Oryctolagus cuniculus: one gene and its partners. The protein of the gene in region 1 interacts with the protein of each later gene in a pairwise test. Links are inferred from orthologs where the notes say so. Each region holds a gene or a part of one and is shown in the gene's direction. Other genes may lie near its edges.

Region 1 (4,234 bases):
CCAGCAGGTGGATGTGCTCGCTCGCTCTCCGTCTCTGCCTTTCTCTCTGTAATTCTGCCTTTCAAATAAATGAATCTTTAAAAAATAAACTTTGCAGGGATATGAAAAACTTTGACTGGATTAGTTGATCTCCTTCAGTTTAAAAGAAGGCCAATAAGCCAGTTAAATATATATATATCTTTAAATACTTACATATTTTTTCTTATTGCATTTCTTTTTACCTTTTTTTTTCTTGTGGCTCCCCACGTCACAGCAAATACTACTTGAACTTTGGTAATTGTGCTCCTCCAAGGCCATGCGCTTTCTGTGTTTCTGCACCATTGCATCCCTCATTCTCTCCGGAATACTGTGACTGCATTTCTCCCCCAGCAAACTCCACTCATCCCTTGCATCAACTCCTCTGGGTGGTCTTCCCTGACCACTCCTGAGAACAACTAACCAATGTCTCCTCAGAATTCCCCTCCTTAAATCTATCACAGCTTCCATCAAACTGTATGCGTTTATATATTTAATCGTCCCTTTGCCAATCTGTTACATGTGCCTTGGTACCTTGCAATGTGTTTTTGTCTTTGTAACCCTTAGCACTGAGCGCATTGATTGGAACATAGTGTGAGTAAAATAAATATTGGCTAAATGATTACATGCAGACTGTTCTAATGTCTGTGTGTTTTTTTTTTTTAACTTTCTCCTAATTTCTTATCTTAGTTCAGGAATACGAAGTTTTCTCGCTACCATCCTCACTTCTGAAAATTTTTCCTCTTTTGAATTTCTTTAATATTTAAGGCTCGGGATCTTGCACCAGCCTAGCTGCTTTTCGGTAGTGCCTCGAGACGACTCGTTAGCCTCGCATTTTATCAGACTCCGCTCAAGGCGACAAGCTCCAGTCTCAAATATCCTATAGCGCAGAGACGCTGACGAGAGTCCGTGCGTGCGCGCCGACTGGCGCTCAGCGCCTGCGCGCCGGGCACTTTTTGCTTTTCGACTCTCCCTTTTTTTTTTTTTTTCCTTGGGAGCGTGCGCACCAAGACAGACAAAGGTGAGGAAAGTGACCAAGCAGTCATGCAGGCGCATGCCCACCCCGAACTTGTCCGAGCGCGGCGGCTCTCCCGGGGCGCAGAGGGTGTGGTCTGAGCGCGAGCGGCCGAGGCCCAATCCGATTGCGCGAGCTCGGCTCCTCCCTCCCCGCGATTGGCTAGCGCCGAGTGTTGTGGGGCGGGGAAAGGAAGAGATGGGGGCTGTGGAGGGGCGGGTGGGGAAGAAAGAGGGCTAATCTCGTTCTGCGCAAGCGCAAGGAAGCGACCACGAGAGGGCGTGAGAGAGCGAAAGGGAATGTGGAAGCCCTGATGCGCTGGCGAGCGCGAGCTGGGTCGCCGGCCTTGACGCCTGCGCCGTGGGCCTCGGGGTCCCGCGCGCGGCGGGCGGGTGCCCGGTGCGCCTGCGCAGTAGGCGGCGGCGGCAGGGGGAGGTGGAGGCCGTGGAGCGGCAGCGGCAGCAGCGGGTCCCGGGACTGGGGCAGCAGCGGGGGCGGCGGCGGGCGGAAGCTGAGGTGACGAAGGCAGCGGCGGCGGCGGCCGTTTCCCTCACGGTGGCGGAGACCAAGGCGGCGGCGGCGGACGGGGAGCGGCCCGGCCCCGGCCCCCTGCTCGTTGGCTGTGGCAGGGCCGCCGTGGGGCCGGCCCGGCTCCCGCCCCCCGCGGCTCCCCCTCCGGCTCCTCCTCCGGGGAGACGCCGGGGGCCTGGCCCGGCCCGCACTCAGACCGCTGCTGCAGCCGCCGCCGGGGGCGTCGGAGGCGGCGGCGGCGCCATGGGCGGCCTGGCCTCTGGGGGGGATGTGGAGCCGGGACTGCCGGTCGAGGTGCGCGGCTCCAACGGGGCCTTCTACAAGGTGAGGCGGTGCGCCGGCCGGGGACCCCGTCTTTAGCTCCCGGAGCAGGCAGAGCGGGGCGGGCCAGGGTTCTGGAGCTGAGTCCTGACCCGTAGAACCTTCGACCCATGCTCCCACCGCAGCCCTCCCCGGGAGACTGCCGGGAGTTCGCTCTCTTCCTCCTATTTTTGACTCCGCTCCTATACCTGCTTTTACCTTCAGCTCAGAATAGAATCGGGGCATTGCTGTGCCTGGATCGGCGCTCCCGGACCCCCAGGAGAAGTCTCTTTCCTCAGCTTAATTGACTTTTCCTGTTTGCTATTGGAAGCCGTACCTTAGGCCCTTAACTCGCTGTGCCACAACGCCCGCCCCATACCTTAGCCTTTAATCACCTCTTCCCCGCGGTCCAAGCACATGGACAATTCTTTTCTTCTCCCACATGACCCCCTTGGGAAGGCCCTCTGTCCCATATTAGCTCCTTTATCCTCAGAGAGGCCTCTGCCTACTGGCTCTGGAACGCTCACCCCACTTTCGCCTTACATTGCCGTTCCCAACCCAAGGAGAAACGGTCAACATCCGTTTATGACTTTTGGCATCTCTGGCCTCAGGTTGTATCAGTCATGTTGCCTTCCAGCCAGTGGCCTCTGCTCATAAGTCTGGCACCCCAGCCCCCCTTCAGTCCCGGGCCAGCCCGGTGGTCCACCGTTCTACCCAGGGGAAGGTTTCTGTTTGTTATCGTGCCTTGACCTCAGATCCATTCAGGTCATTCATACAGCTTCTGCATGTTGATGGTAAGCTTCATATGCATAGTGTCTAAAAGGGAGTCTCCCCATGAGCCCTTCCATTTCTCTTTTTAAGGATTTCCACTTCTAGAAGACTTTTGGCCATCTCTCCCAGTTCTGGAATCCTGCAGCCTGTTTTTGGAAGGAAAAGGGGACTATCCTTCAAAGACCCTTGCTTCTTTCAGCTCCCTCCTTGCCCAGGATTGGTTTCCTTAGGATTCTTTTTACTACTGCTTTATTTGTTTAGAACCCATTTTCTTGAACTTTTTGTCCCCATTTAGATGATGCCGTACAGAGAGAGACCTTTTTAGCCACTCAAAGAATTTTTCTTTGTGTGATTGTTGCTAATCCTAACCTCTTTGGGACTTTGTGTCTGGAATTGTCCCAGAGATTTTCCTGATTCCTGTCTCATTTCATCCTGAGGAGTCGCAAGAGAGAGATCTTCCCAGGGCCAGCTCTCCTTCAGTTCCCTTCTGGTCTTTCCCCCCTACAAAGACCTCTCAATCTTCCCATGCCCTTGGAAGTGGCTTGAGCTGATGACTGTGAAGTCGTCTCTTACTACAGCTGGAAAGGGTCTTGCCCTTGGTTGGAGTGGATGGTAACTGCCTGCACTTCAGTTGATAAGCTCATTGTAGTCATTTTTTACTCTCTGTAAGTACCTATTCACTCTTCTTTGCTTCCTTTCTTCTCCAGATTGCTGTATATCTAGTGTCTGTTCATAACTCATCCTCTCAGTTCAAGTCTTTGGCCTTTTATCCTAATATTTCTATAATCCCCAGGAACCACCTTATTACACTTCTAGCTGAAGGAAGCTCCCAGCTGATTGCTTTTGTCATTTTTTGCATACTTTCCTAACTCTTAGGACTTTTTCTTCATTTCTGTTTTCTTTGGCAAAACGTCTCTAATTCCTTTCTGGTTCTGATAGAGCACATTTGCCTCTTAACATCCTTTCCTCCAGTCTTGCATTACCTTTGTTGAAAACCCTGCCTCATAAGATGTTAGCCTTGTTTATCCCAGTGTCTTGTCTTTCATCTGAGTCCTGCCCACCCCCGAGTTCTGGAGTCCAAGAGAAATGATTCTTAAATTGAGTTTGAGATCAAGATAATGATGTTTGCTTTTTTTCTAGGAAGCATGACAGCCAGGCACAGCTGGGAAAGAATGGTACCCACTTCACAGTAAATGTGTGAAACAGCTGGGAAGGGCCATCTTTCCTGTAATCCACATCTAAGTGTACAACAGGAAGTCTCTGACTTTCCCTTTTTGCTCTTGGGCTGTGGCCATGAGTGACTTGAAGAATTGGGGCACAGAATACTTTGAATCAGAGTAGAGTTTGGAGTTGAACTGAAAGTGAGGTAATGTGGATTTTGTGTTCTGGCAACATTAGCATTTTTTGTCCCATACCTAAGGTAAAAAAACAACAAAACAAATCTCTGAATTGAGACTAATCTTTCTTCAGCTCAGTGTCATATAGATATTTATCCATGCTGACCTTGCTGCTGATTTAATTTAATATTCATGACTCAGCAAACTTTAGTGTAGGTCAAGGAGCATTCCTACTGCTTCTGGAACTATAAGTTTGGGAAGCTGC
Region 2 (3,436 bases), on another chromosome or scaffold:
GATGAAAAGTTAAAATGGAATCAAAGTGACCCAAGGGAAGATGAAAATCAAAATCCATAATCAAAAGACTAATGAATCAACATAAGTAGCTATTTATAGATGAATGAATGAAGGAAATGTGGTATATACACACAATGGAACACTATTCAGCCAGAGAAAAAGAATGCCATCAGTCAGTTGAGGTAACACCAATGAGCCTGGAGGACAATATGTTAATCGATATGCACCAGGCACAGACAGACAAATACTACATGTCCTCACTCACATGTAGAAAGCTAAATAAGTTGGTCTCATGGAAGGTGAGATTAGAAAACTGGTTATCAAAGACTGGGAAGAAGAAGAGAAAGGGAGACACAGAAAAGTCAATTACATGCTACATAAATACAATTAAATGCAACAAAAAAATTTCCAGTGTTCTGTATCACATTAGGTGATTATAATTAACAATACTTTAATTATATATTACAAAATAGCTATATGGAAGGATTTTGACTGTCCCGTAACACAAAGAAATGAAAATGTGGGAAGTGGTGGATATGCTAATTACCCTGATTTGATCAATACACATCATATATATTTATGGAAATAGCACCCTGTTCCCCCAAAATATGTGCAATTATTATGTCAATTAAAAATGTAAAAATACACAAAAAATGTCAAAGTTGTTTTAAACCCATTATCTCCAGCATCATTCACATTTTGCACGGACTGATAGGGAATTTACCAATTCTGCATTCCTCCTTATTTTATACTCTTCCTCCTCCTACTCTCGGAATTTTGTAGGGAGAGACTTCATCAACTCTTACTGGTATTTCCCAGGATTCCAGTCTCAGATCTTCCCAAAGTTCGCATATTTTCTTAGAGAATCCCAACTATTCACATTCTCTTGAGGAATCCCAGCTGCTCCTCTCACTTGGTCGCAGGAAACCGGGAGCTCTCTCTGGGACGCTCCTGTCACACTTAGTCCTGGACAAACCCAGGTGGACCCTTGTAAGAAACTCTACCTCACCACGTGGGAAACTGAAGTTACCATCTTCCCCTTTAAACTTGCCCCTTCCTCAGCGACCACCCAGCCCCTCCTGCCCTCCCCAAGGCCGCCTCGTCCACGCAGGAAACCCGGGGTCATTCCCATCAGGCCAGCAGCGGCTCCACCTCAGACCCTCGCCGTCGGGCGCACAGCCCCTCCCCTCCCGCCCAGTCCGAATCGCGCGGCCCGCGGACGCGCAGGCGCAGTGTCCCGTCGTCCCGCCGCCGCCCCGCCCTGCCCGCCGCTGCGGAAGGCGCCGCGCGCAGCTACGCGCACTTCCTCTCAGGGAGACCGCGGAGGGAACGCAGGCTCGAAGAGCTCCGGGACGCTGAGGCCCTGCTCCTGTCAGACGGCGCAGACATGTCGGAACAAAGTAAGGACCTGAGCGACCCCGACTTGACAGCCGAGACCCCCAGCCGCGAAGTGCACAGCAGCCCAGGGGTTCCGGCGGGGGGCCCTGCGCCCGTCTCCCCTGCAGCGACCCTCGCAGGGCCACAGAGCCCTCCTCCAGGCCCGACGGCGCTCTCACAGCCCGAGCCGCCGCCCCAGGCCCCGAGCGATGAGGATGACCCGAAGGCCCTGCTGCAGGCAGCTGAGGAGGGCCGCGCCCACCAGGCCCCGAGCGCGGCCCAGCTGGGCCCCGCGCCGCCCGCCCCGGCCCAGCTGGTGCAGAAGGCACATGAGCTCATGTGGTACGTGCTGGTCAAGGACCAGAAGAAGATGATCATCTGGTTTCCAGACATGGTGAAAGATGTCATTGGCAGCTACAAGAAATGGTGCAGAAGCATCCTCAGGCGCACCAGCCTCATCCTCGCCCGAGTCTTTGGGCTGCACCTGAGGCTGACCAGCCTGCACACGATGGAGTTTGCGCTGGTCAAGGCTCTCGACCCCGAGGAGCTGGACAGGGTGGCACTGAGCAACCGGATGCCCATGACAGGCCTTCTGCTCATGATCCTGAGCCTCATCTACGTGAAGGGCCGAGGCGCCAGAGAGAGCGCCGTCTGGAACGTGCTGCGCATCTTGGGGCTGCGGCCCTGGAAGAAGCATTCCACCTTCGGGGACGTGAGAAAGCTCATCACCGAGGAGTTCGTCCAGCAGAATTACCTGAAGTACCAGCGCGTACCCTATGTTGAACCTCCGGAGTATGAGTTCTTTTGGGGCTCCCGAGCCACGCAAGAGATTACCAAGATGCAGATCATGGAGTTCCTGGCCAGGGTTTTTAAGAAAGATCCCCAGGCCTGGCCTTCCAGATACAGAGAAGCTCTGGAGGAGGCCAGAGCTCTGCGGGAGGCCAGTCCCAGTGTCCACTGCCCCCGAAGCAGTGTGTCTGAGGACTAGTGAGGTCTGGAGGCAGATTGATGGTTTCCAACCCCCACCAGGGCTGTGGAAGGGTGGGGGGCAGGTCTTAGAGTATTCAGGATTTACAGTGCAGTATTTCACGTGTAACCTTTCAGTTATCAGTACAGTGCTTTTATACCTTTTAATGCAATGTTGTATTCATTTGGGTACTATCAAGTAGTGTCTAGCATTTATGCATGTTTGTTTATAAGTAAGCTCTGTTGGTGCTTCGCTTTTGTGCTACCTTTCTTGGATTTTTTGTACCAGAGATGTGCTAAACTTATGAAATACATTGAGAAGTTTTCCATCTTATTCTTTTATATGGGACGATTGATGTGTACTGTATGATTGATGCACCTGGTGAGTGTGGAGAACTCACCAGCAAAGCTGGCCTAACCAAGAGAAAAGCCTAAGGCCCCTCTTTATGACCTTGATGGGCATGAGCAACATCTGGAGTGAACTGTTTTGAACTGAGATGGTCTCAATGTGGGCACTTGGCACACTTTACTAAACACATATACAACCTACCATGAGTAAACTTTAAACATTAAAGATTCTTGTGATACAATCATTTTTGGAGAACTGTACTCTATCATTTTAATAAACGGTATCATAGGGAATGAGAAGGGATTCCCCATTGTACAAAATATGCAAATACTTCATGATTAATCCTAAATGTGTATTTATATTGTATTATAAATACAACTCATATTTGTTTCAAAAGGTTTGAGAAATACAGAATGTGTAATGTCCCCAAAACAAGTAAAATTTTCCACAATCATAACACAAGGAAATAGCAATTGATCATATTTAAGATAATTTCTTGCCTTCATTTTCTATACTTTATCAAAGTTAATAGCTGCCTTTAGTGGTCTCTTAAAGAGGGAGGAATAGTGTTTTGTTAACTTTTGCCTTTTATTTAGTGCCCTCACTAAATAGTCGCTTATTACATCCACACAATGGAGGAAATCAGGAACAAAGTAGGGATGAACTTTGTGTAACTCACATAGCTGAGTAAAAGAGGGTGCTAGGATTTGAACCTATGCTATGAATCTGGAGCCCACATTCGTG
Region 3 (4,281 bases), on another chromosome or scaffold:
ATTGGAGGGCATATAAAACATCCTTCTTTTTAGATAGGAAGTCCTCAAGTATTCAACTTGTGAAAAGTCAATGGGCTAGGGATGGAGACAATCAGCCACCTCAACCATCCTCTGTTGGAACAAAAATTACTGTGGATGGAGTGTACTTTCTATTTCTCCCCAGTCCACAAAATCTCAAAAAGAGCACAAGGGGCTGGCATTGTGGCATAGCAGGTTGAGCCGTGGTCTGCAGCGCCAGCATCCCATATGGACACCGGTTTGAGTCCTGGCTGCTCCACTTCCAATCCAGCTCCCTGCTAATGCACCTTGTAAAGCAGTGGAAGATGGCCCAAGTGCTTGGGTTCCTGTACCCGCACGGGAGACCAGGAAGAAGCTCCTGGCTCCTGCCTTCAGATCAGCCCAGCTCCGACCATTTTGGCCATTTGGGAAGTGACACCCAGTGGATGGAAGATATCAAGATCTCTCTCTCTTCTCTCTGTAACTCTGCCTTTCAAATAAATAAACAAATCTTAAAAAAAAAAAAAGCACAAAGCGCAGACAAAACATTTCAAAGAGTTTAAAATGCTAATATTAAATTTCATTCTGAGACAAAATTAGATTGAGAACAAATTCAAGGGTGAAAGATTTACAATAGATTAAGAAGGGAAATTAAGGATAAGTGTGTGGGGGTACACCCGCATCTTGGTGATTCACATCATGGAGATACACGATATGCTCTAAAGAAATGGGGTACTTGGTCATGTGGATTGGATGGACGCAACCACATTCCCTAAACACGTCTGTCAGTCAGTATCTAGGCTTTCACTGTCAGAAAGTGAGAGTTACGGATTAAAACAGGATTCGATCCTTGGCGTTTCATTCACAGCACAAATCCTTTAAAAGTATTCAGTCAACAGAGGAGGGAGACTCCTGAACCCACTGTCACATGTTGAACAGTTAGGGAGCGTGGGTTAACTGAGTCCTTCATAGGGAGAAAAAAAAAAAAAAAAACTCCGGACCTAAACGGAACCGGAACGAGGAAGGGGTGGCTATCACCGAAGTGTCACTGAGTTGGGTGTCGTTAAAAATGGGTCACAACCAACAAGGTCAAAGATTTATGTTTATAAATACACACTATGGCCCTCCTTACAAATAATAGCAGACTCCGGGATCTCATTTCCCCAGAAGAAAACAGCCCCCGTGCCTCCTTCCCGTGGGTCGCTTTCTTTACCTGCTTCTTCCCTCTCGTGGGTAGGAACTTTCTGCCCCGCCTCCCGGCTCGCTCAAGCTCCGCCTTCCCGGCCCACCTGGGTGCCCAGCCCCTGACGTTACCGTTCGGCTTCAGCATCCTACAGGATTCCGGCTCCCGATTGGCCCGTCTGTTCACGGCTGGCGCAGCCCACCAATGGCAGCTGCGCTGGGTGGGCGGGTGCCCACATCCAAGATGGCGCCCCCAGGAGCTGGGAGCGGGTGACCGGCGACGGGGAAGCGGCCTGGGTTGGCCCTCAGATTGCGGGGTCTCGGGGGCGTCTCGTCGGGCACCCCCTGACCCACCTACAAGGCCTTCCCCGGGCCAGAGCAATGGCCGCCGAGAACAGCAAGCAGTTTTGGAAGAGGAGCGCCAAGCTGCCGGGGAGGTGAGCCCAGGACGCTGAGAGGGAGCCGGGATTGGACCAAACCCTTCCAAATCCTAATCCCTAAATCTTGCGACTGATGTGGGGACCCCAGGACCGAGCAGTCAGGGCTGCCTGGTAGCGGCAGGGCGGCTGTCAGGCAGAGGAGCGGGGACGGCTGGGTGTGAGGTACAGACCGGGGTCTGAGGGCGGAGGTCTCAGGAGAGGTGACCTCAGCTGGGGGGTGGCCGACGACCGGGCACAGGGGGCAGAGGAGTTGAGGGAGAACCCCGTGTCGCCCCCGGGGCTTGGGGGGCCATTCCCAGAGCCACTTCCCACTTTGAAGAGAACTCCTCGGGGGTCTCCAGCATGCACAGGTGGTTGCTTACTCGAGGGTGGCCCCTTCCTTGGCTCCCCCAGCTCCTCAGGTGCAAATCTTCTCCCAAAGGGTTCTGGTGGGAGCTTGGGGCCGCCTGCGAGGAAAGGGGTCGGGGCGGGGGGTGGGGGTCCAGGAAAAGTGAGAGCAGTTCTGCAGCCTGACCCCACTTTATCTTGAGTTGACCCTTTCCCGTCAAGGATTTCTTACAGGGAGACCACAGAGTCGGTGTTTTTCTCTAGCATTTTCTAGGGATTTGTCCAACTCCAAGTGACCTCTTCCCCCCACCCCCTGCATTGTAATGGTCTTCTTGTGCACACACACTGAATTCTTTCATTCTTCAGTGGTTTCGTGGAGGGCAGACCTTCTAAGCGATTTTTTTTTTTTTCCATTTTGGCATGTGTTGAGACTTTTTAGCAGTTGTCCATCCCCCAATCTGCCGTTAGTTGACAGTTTGGGTTGTTTTGGGCTGAGTCCTTAGAAGTCTAAGGAGGAAAGTGTGTTTCAATTGTGAATTTAAGATTTCTGCCAGCCACAGTCCAGTTGGTGATGAAATTCACGTTTGGCTGTGCCCTCCCCTGCCACCTTTCCTAATTGATTCAGTTCTTTTCTTTCTGGGATAATTGGTAATTCTTTGAACTTATGACTGAGTATTTTCCTCTAAAGCAAAGAGAAATGAACAGTCCGTAGTGTCTTGGCAGTCTTACCTTATTTAGGATCCTATTAAACATATGGGAAATGGAGTGGGGATCAGCTTTTAGTAATACATATTAATAGAAGGCAATGCAAAGACAGCCTCAGATTAACATGGAAATTACACTGGAATGACTGTTAATATCGTGTTAAAGATGTTGTGTGTCTTTAGATAAGCATCGCTTCCTGCCACCTGATTTCTTTTCCTTCCTGATCTAGTGAACTCTCCAGTTATGCTAAATGCTGTTCTCTGGGGTTTTCCATCATGAGATCATTAAATTTTGATGTCCTAAGGTTATAATGAGACTCAGCAGGAAAACTGTTCCAACAGGAAGCAGTGCAGGAGATGAGGGACATGGCATGGTCCTTTGTGCCTTCTGACACTGGTTGCTGTTCACTGGCTTCTGTTTAATACTGAAACAGTCAACTTTTCTAAAGCACTATGTGAGATAGGAAGAGGAGTCTTTTTTTTTTTTTTTAAAGAAAGATTTTATTCATTTATTTATTTGAGAGGTAGAGTTACAGACCGAAAGAGGGAGAGACAGAGAGAGAGGTCTTCCATCCACTGGTTCACTCCCCAAATGGCCGCAACAACTTGGAGCTGAGCTGATCTGAAGCCAGGAGCCTGGAGCTTCTTCCAGGTCTGCCACGTGGGCGCAGGGGCCCAAGCACTTGGGCTCTGGGAGAGGAGTCTTCATTTCTTCAAGTGTCTGACTCTTCCATTTTGAAGAATACAGAAGGGAAGAGGAGAGAACCTTAGGGTTTAAAAAGCCTTGGCTCATTATTTGAACTCTCTTACCTGTGTGTCAAAGACAAATGATTGACATCCAGGCCTCTGTTTCCTTATCTGTGAAATGAGAAATAAAAATACTTCCCTCAGGGTTCCTGGGATTACTAATAAAATACCCTATTTGTAAAGAACCTAGGACCGTTTATTTAACACATTATAGTTGCTCAGTATTGCTGTTTCTAGAGCAAGTAATTGTTGAAAAGAATATTGCTCAGATCCCTTACCCCAGCCCTAGTTCAAGTCTTCATTCTTTGTTCTAACCATAAAATACTGGCACAATTCATACTAGCTTTTAGTACTTTGATTGTTGAAGAGAAATATGGTTCAGCTGTGTGCCTTTATCTGCGAGGCCCCAGGAGCTCCTGATTATGGGAGAAAACTACCCAGGCATCTTGTAGATGGAAAGGTGCCTTGATGAAAGGAAAATGTTAGAGCATTTTCTCAATATAACTTTTTTTTTTTAAGATTTATGTATTTATTTGAAAGTCAGAGTTACACATAGAGAGAAGGAGAGGCAGAGAGAGAGAGAGGTTCTCCATCCTCTGGTTCCCTCCCTCAGTTGGCCACAACTGCCGGAGCTGCACTATCTTAAGCCAGGAGCTTCTTCCAGGTCTCCCACTTGGGTGCAGGGGCCCAAAAACGTGGGCCATCTTCTACTGCCTTCCCAGGCCACAACAGAGAGCTGGATTGCAAGTGGAGCAGTCGGGACTTGAACCAACGTCCATATGGGATGCCAGCACTGCAGACAGCGGCTTTACCTGCCACAACATAGTGCCGGCCCCCAATATATCTTTTGACTCTTCACTTGATCTTAGCCAAAAAGCCAAGAA
Region 4 (4,075 bases), on another chromosome or scaffold:
CGCGGGAGCACCAGCCCCACTCCTCACTCCCCCTTTCCAGGGAAGCTCATTTTGGCATCTCCCTAGCTCGCTCGTGCGTCCCCTCCACAGGTTACTCCAAGTCTCCCGGATCCGGACGCCGGGACCCCCTCCTCCCCTCCAGTTCCCACTGCTGTGACTACTCTCAAACCCACCACCGGCTCCAGGGCTGTGTCCTGGAAACAAAAGCTTGTGCTGGTCGTCGGACCGGGTCCGGGCACCTCCCGGCACGAGCCTACCCCGCGAGCAGCCCCACGTTCGGGGGGCGCCAGAACCCGCAGGCAGTCGGGGACGAGCCTAGCGGAACCTCAGAAGCTGGCGGGACTCGGAGGGGAGTGAGGGCCCCAAAAGGCAAGAGGCACGGGACTGTGTGCGTTAACGTCCCGGGGCGTGCCACGGGCAGGTGCACGTCCAGGTAACGGAGGCCAGGGCTCCGGGCCCTCGAGCGCTCGCGAGAGGCACCGCCACCCCCGCCCTCCCCGCGCGGCTCACCGGTGCTGCAGCCCCACGAGTCCCAGCGTGATCACATGCGGCACATCCAGCTGCGTGGGCCACTCTCCTGAGGCGATGCACCCGAACACGCCACATTCCTCTCGGATTCCTAACTCTTCCAGCTCCATGTCGCCGCCGAAAGCACGTGGAGGAAGCTGCAGCCGCGGCCCGGGTCGGCGCACCAACCAGCTGCAGCCTTGAAACCAACGCCTCAGAAGACCGCGCCGGAGACAGCGGCTTCCTCCCCAGCACCGAGCGTCTGCTCGCTACTGCGGCGGCGCGTGCTGTCCCCGCCCCCTCCGTGGGCGGGGCCGCAGCCCCCGCGTCCCGCCCCCCACAGGGCCCGCCAATGAGTGAGGGCAGAGAGCGAGGCTCCGCGGCCGAGGGGAGGAGTCCCGCATACAGTAGGGGTGGAGCTACTCCTCCCCCACCCCCGGAGACGCCCGGACAGTATACTCTCCCGCACGTGGAAATCTCCGTTACTCTCTAGTCCTCAATGCTGGGGTGACGAGAATAACGGGGTTAGCATCCTGGCCCTCGCCCAAGAGGCACACGTCGCGCGCCCCTCCGCACGTGCCTTCCCCCGGCCGGGACGACTTGGTACGCTCCAAGCCCTGACCGGCTTCCTCCGGCTCCGAGGGGCCCCAGCCTGCGGTCGGCGCGGAGCGGGGAGGGGCCGCCAGCGCGCGCCACTTTCCGGCTCCCCGGGAACGCCGCCCGGGGGCGGGGTCGCGCCGGCGCGCCTGCGCGGCGGGAAGCCCCGGGCAGAGACCCTGCCGCGTGCATTCGCACGTAGATCGCGGTCGGCCGAGCTGCGCGGCGGCGGCCGCCGACTCTGCGAGAGCCCCGCCTCCGCGGCCCGCGCGCTGCGCCTCTCGGCCTCTTTTCCAGATTTGTGCGGCCCTTGGTCCACTCGGGATAATGGCGACGGCCGAGGGTGAGTGGCGGGCGCCCGGGGCCGGCCCGGCGGCTGAGGTGGCCGAGGCGGCTGAGGCGGCCGGGCTCTGGGCGGACGCACACGTGGCCCGAGCGCCCGGAGCGCGGGACGCGGTGGCGAGGGGCGAGCGTGGGGCGGGTCCCTGGGACAAAAGGCGGTCGGAAGCGCTCTGGTCATGAATAGCTATTGCAAAGCAACTGCTTGAAATTCTGGTGCTGACTTCAAACCCTAGAGTCTTGGTTGTTCCAGGTTCTTGATTAAACTGAAAATCTGGCCAGGTTTTGTGCAGTTTGGTCTTTTTTTTTTTTTTTTTTTTTACTTTTTAAAGCAGTCTTTGATGGCTTTGCTGAGTTCCAAAACCTGCAGGCAAAAACAAAAAAAAAAAAGGGTTGCTAGCTTCATTTTGCATTTACCGCATTTACGTCGTAGCGGTAACCTTTGCGCTCAGGTCGACTGGAACGATGGTTCTTGCCGTGGATGTGGAATCGGACGTGATACGATGTTTCCGACAAATACGCAGTGAACCAGATGGCCTGTGTCATCCGCCAGTACATTCTTTTTGCACGTAGGAGACAAACTGGATTTAGATCAGAGAGTTGTAAGCTGGGGCCGGCGTGATGGCGAAGGTTCGAGTCCTGGCCCGGGAAAGCAGCAGAGGATGGCCCGAGGGACTGGGCCCCTGCGCCCACGTGGGAGGCCTGGATAGGGCTCCTGGCTTGGCGGTTGCGGCCAGCTGGGGAGTGAGCCATCGTAAAAAGAGCGTTGTAAACTCACCGGGAAGAGCCGATTCCTTCAGCCATCCTTAGTCCTCATCAGCCTCTTCTGAACTCTTCTGCAAAGTTACAGCATTTTGATAATTGCGCAACCGCTCCATAAAACCAAGGGCTGGCCAGTTTTTCCTGCAGTCAGGGTGCCTGAACCTGGTGGGACCTCTCAAGGTTTTGTTCCAGCACTTACATCTTGGATACCAGTGGCAGGTTAGCTTTCCCAGAATGAAGGCCCGTCTTGGTCAGAAAAATGCTCAGTGGCTTCCCTGGAGCTGTTGCAGCCTGTTCCTAAGTTCCTGTGATTGGAACCCTGCGTAAAGCTGTCCTTCCTACCTCTTCCACCCTAATTTGTCTTGGTAGGAATCCTTACCCTACATTCCAGTGAGTTTAATTCACAGAGGTCACATTTTATTTTTTCTTTTTGTTATTGTTGTTCTAGAACAATGCTGGCTAAAAGAAATATAAAGTGAACCATATACATAAATTTGTTTTTTAACAGCCCTCTTTCTGAAGTTTTTTATAAATTTGGTAAAATGAGTTTTAATGGCTTTTATTTAACCCAGGATATCCCAAATATGAACATTTCAACATGTGATTTATAGAAAAAATTCCTTGAGGTATTTTGCATCCTTTTTTTTTCCACGTTGAGTGTGGTGTGTAGTTTATACATAAATCACATCTCAGTTTGGAGTCATCATGTTTCAAGTGTTTGATGATTGCCTGGTAAAGTTCTTTTCTATGGAAATTCTATGCTTTTGATAACTTTTAAATTTCAGTTCCATGAGCCATTCTCAGTCCTTCTCAGTCTCTTCTGAACTCATCTAATAATTGACAGCATTTTGGCACTTTGAGCAAGTGTCCGGATGGTTGAGTCTACCCATTGCCATTGCTGTCCTATTTCATGACTGGGCAATAAGCAGAGATTGAACCATTCTTGCTTCCTATAGCTCTTTTGTCCACCACACTGAATCGGTTCTCTCTCTCTCTCAAACATCTTGCCTCTTCTCCCACTGCTTTTCCCTTAGACTGTGACATTTCTTGCCTGGGTTGCTGCAGTAGCAGCAGCTTCCTAACGGGTCTCCCAGAGTCTGGTTTTGTTCCAACCATGCCTTCGTTCTCCACACAGCAACCACAAGGATCTTTCTGGAATGCAAATCTAGCATTTCACTACAGAGCTTAAAAGCCCTATCTATGGTTGTTCCTAGGATAAAGTCAGCTCAATCAACTTGGCCTACAAGGCCTGAGGAAATGGAAGAGAAAGGAACAGAAGTGGGCAGGAGGGGGATAAGAATTCCATGGAAGAAGTTGGAACGCTAGGCAGGGACTGGAGAAATAAGTATAGAGCACTAAACTGGGGCTGTATGCTGGAGGGTTTGTTTTTTATCTGCAAGAGGGTGAGCAGGCTCTCGCAGGTGCTGTTTCACTCCTACATGCCTGCAGCTAGGAGCCATGGACTCAAGCCAGGTCTTCTCCATGGGTGACAGGAACCGGATTACTTGAGCCATCACCACTGCCTCCCAGGGTCTGCACTGGCAGGAAGTGAGAGCCGGGGGTGGAACCCAGGAGCTCTTGATGTGAGAAGGGGGTATCTTTGCTAGGCCAAGTGCCTGCTCCCCGCTGCAGGGTTTTTTAAGCCTGTTGCTGAGTCTGGTGGATAGTATGTTAGGAGGATACAGATTCATCCTCTAAATTAGGTGCCCTAGGGTAGCAGCTATTGTGCTGAGCTGTCGCTAGTGCTTGCCTCTGCCAGCTGCTAATGTGAGCCCTGCACAAGTCTTGGGTCTCGCTTCCTGCTGTCCCCGTGGCGAGGGACCTGCACCCACAGCGCTGGTGCTGCAGCCACACTGCAGTTCTGCTGAAC

The links. The genes of interacting proteins can lie anywhere in the genome.
Region 2: the proteins of FXR2 (region 1) and NDN interact in a two-hybrid assay, tested with the Homo sapiens proteins (2 studies listed by BioGRID and IntAct). The link is inferred for Oryctolagus cuniculus from reciprocal best matches to the Homo sapiens genes FXR2 and NDN.
Region 3: the proteins of FXR2 (region 1) and TBC1D22B interact in binary tests that used the Homo sapiens proteins (3 or more experiments, as listed by UniProt). The link is inferred for Oryctolagus cuniculus from reciprocal best matches to the Homo sapiens genes FXR2 and TBC1D22B.
Region 4: the proteins of FXR2 (region 1) and PAICS interact in binary tests that used the Homo sapiens proteins (3 or more experiments, as listed by UniProt). The link is inferred for Oryctolagus cuniculus from reciprocal best matches to the Homo sapiens genes FXR2 and PAICS.

What each region holds. Positions count from the first base shown.
Region 1 is NC_091448.1:52,173,967-52,178,200, reverse strand, and holds the start of FXR2 (RNA-binding protein FXR2), read left to right. Parts: upstream 1-1,434; 5' UTR 1,435-1,804; coding exon 1,805-1,885; intron 1,886-4,234. UniProt on the Homo sapiens protein: mRNA-binding protein that acts as a regulator of mRNAs translation and/or stability, and which is required for adult hippocampal neurogenesis. Specifically binds to AU-rich elements (AREs) in the 3'-UTR of target mRNAs.
Region 2 is NC_091443.1:13,452,797-13,456,232, reverse strand, and holds NDN (necdin), read left to right. Parts: upstream 1-1,254; 5' UTR 1,255-1,387; coding exon 1,388-2,365; 3' UTR 2,366-2,936; downstream 2,937-3,436. UniProt on the Homo sapiens protein: Growth suppressor that facilitates the entry of the cell into cell cycle arrest.
Region 3 is NC_091436.1:132,390,660-132,394,940, reverse strand, and holds the start of TBC1D22B (TBC1 domain family member 22B), read left to right. Parts: upstream 1-1,481; 5' UTR 1,482-1,560; coding exon 1,561-1,616; intron 1,617-4,281. UniProt on the Homo sapiens protein: May act as a GTPase-activating protein for Rab family protein(s).
Region 4 is NC_091439.1:108,090,219-108,094,293, reverse strand, and holds the start of PAICS (bifunctional phosphoribosylaminoimidazole carboxylase/phosphoribosylaminoimidazole succinocarboxamide synthetase), read left to right. Parts: upstream 1-1,275; 5' UTR 1,276-1,431; coding exon 1,432-1,447; intron 1,448-4,075. Other genes in the region: PPAT (amidophosphoribosyltransferase), read right to left, coding at 511-638. UniProt on the Homo sapiens protein: Bifunctional phosphoribosylaminoimidazole carboxylase and phosphoribosylaminoimidazole succinocarboxamide synthetase catalyzing two reactions of the de novo purine biosynthetic pathway.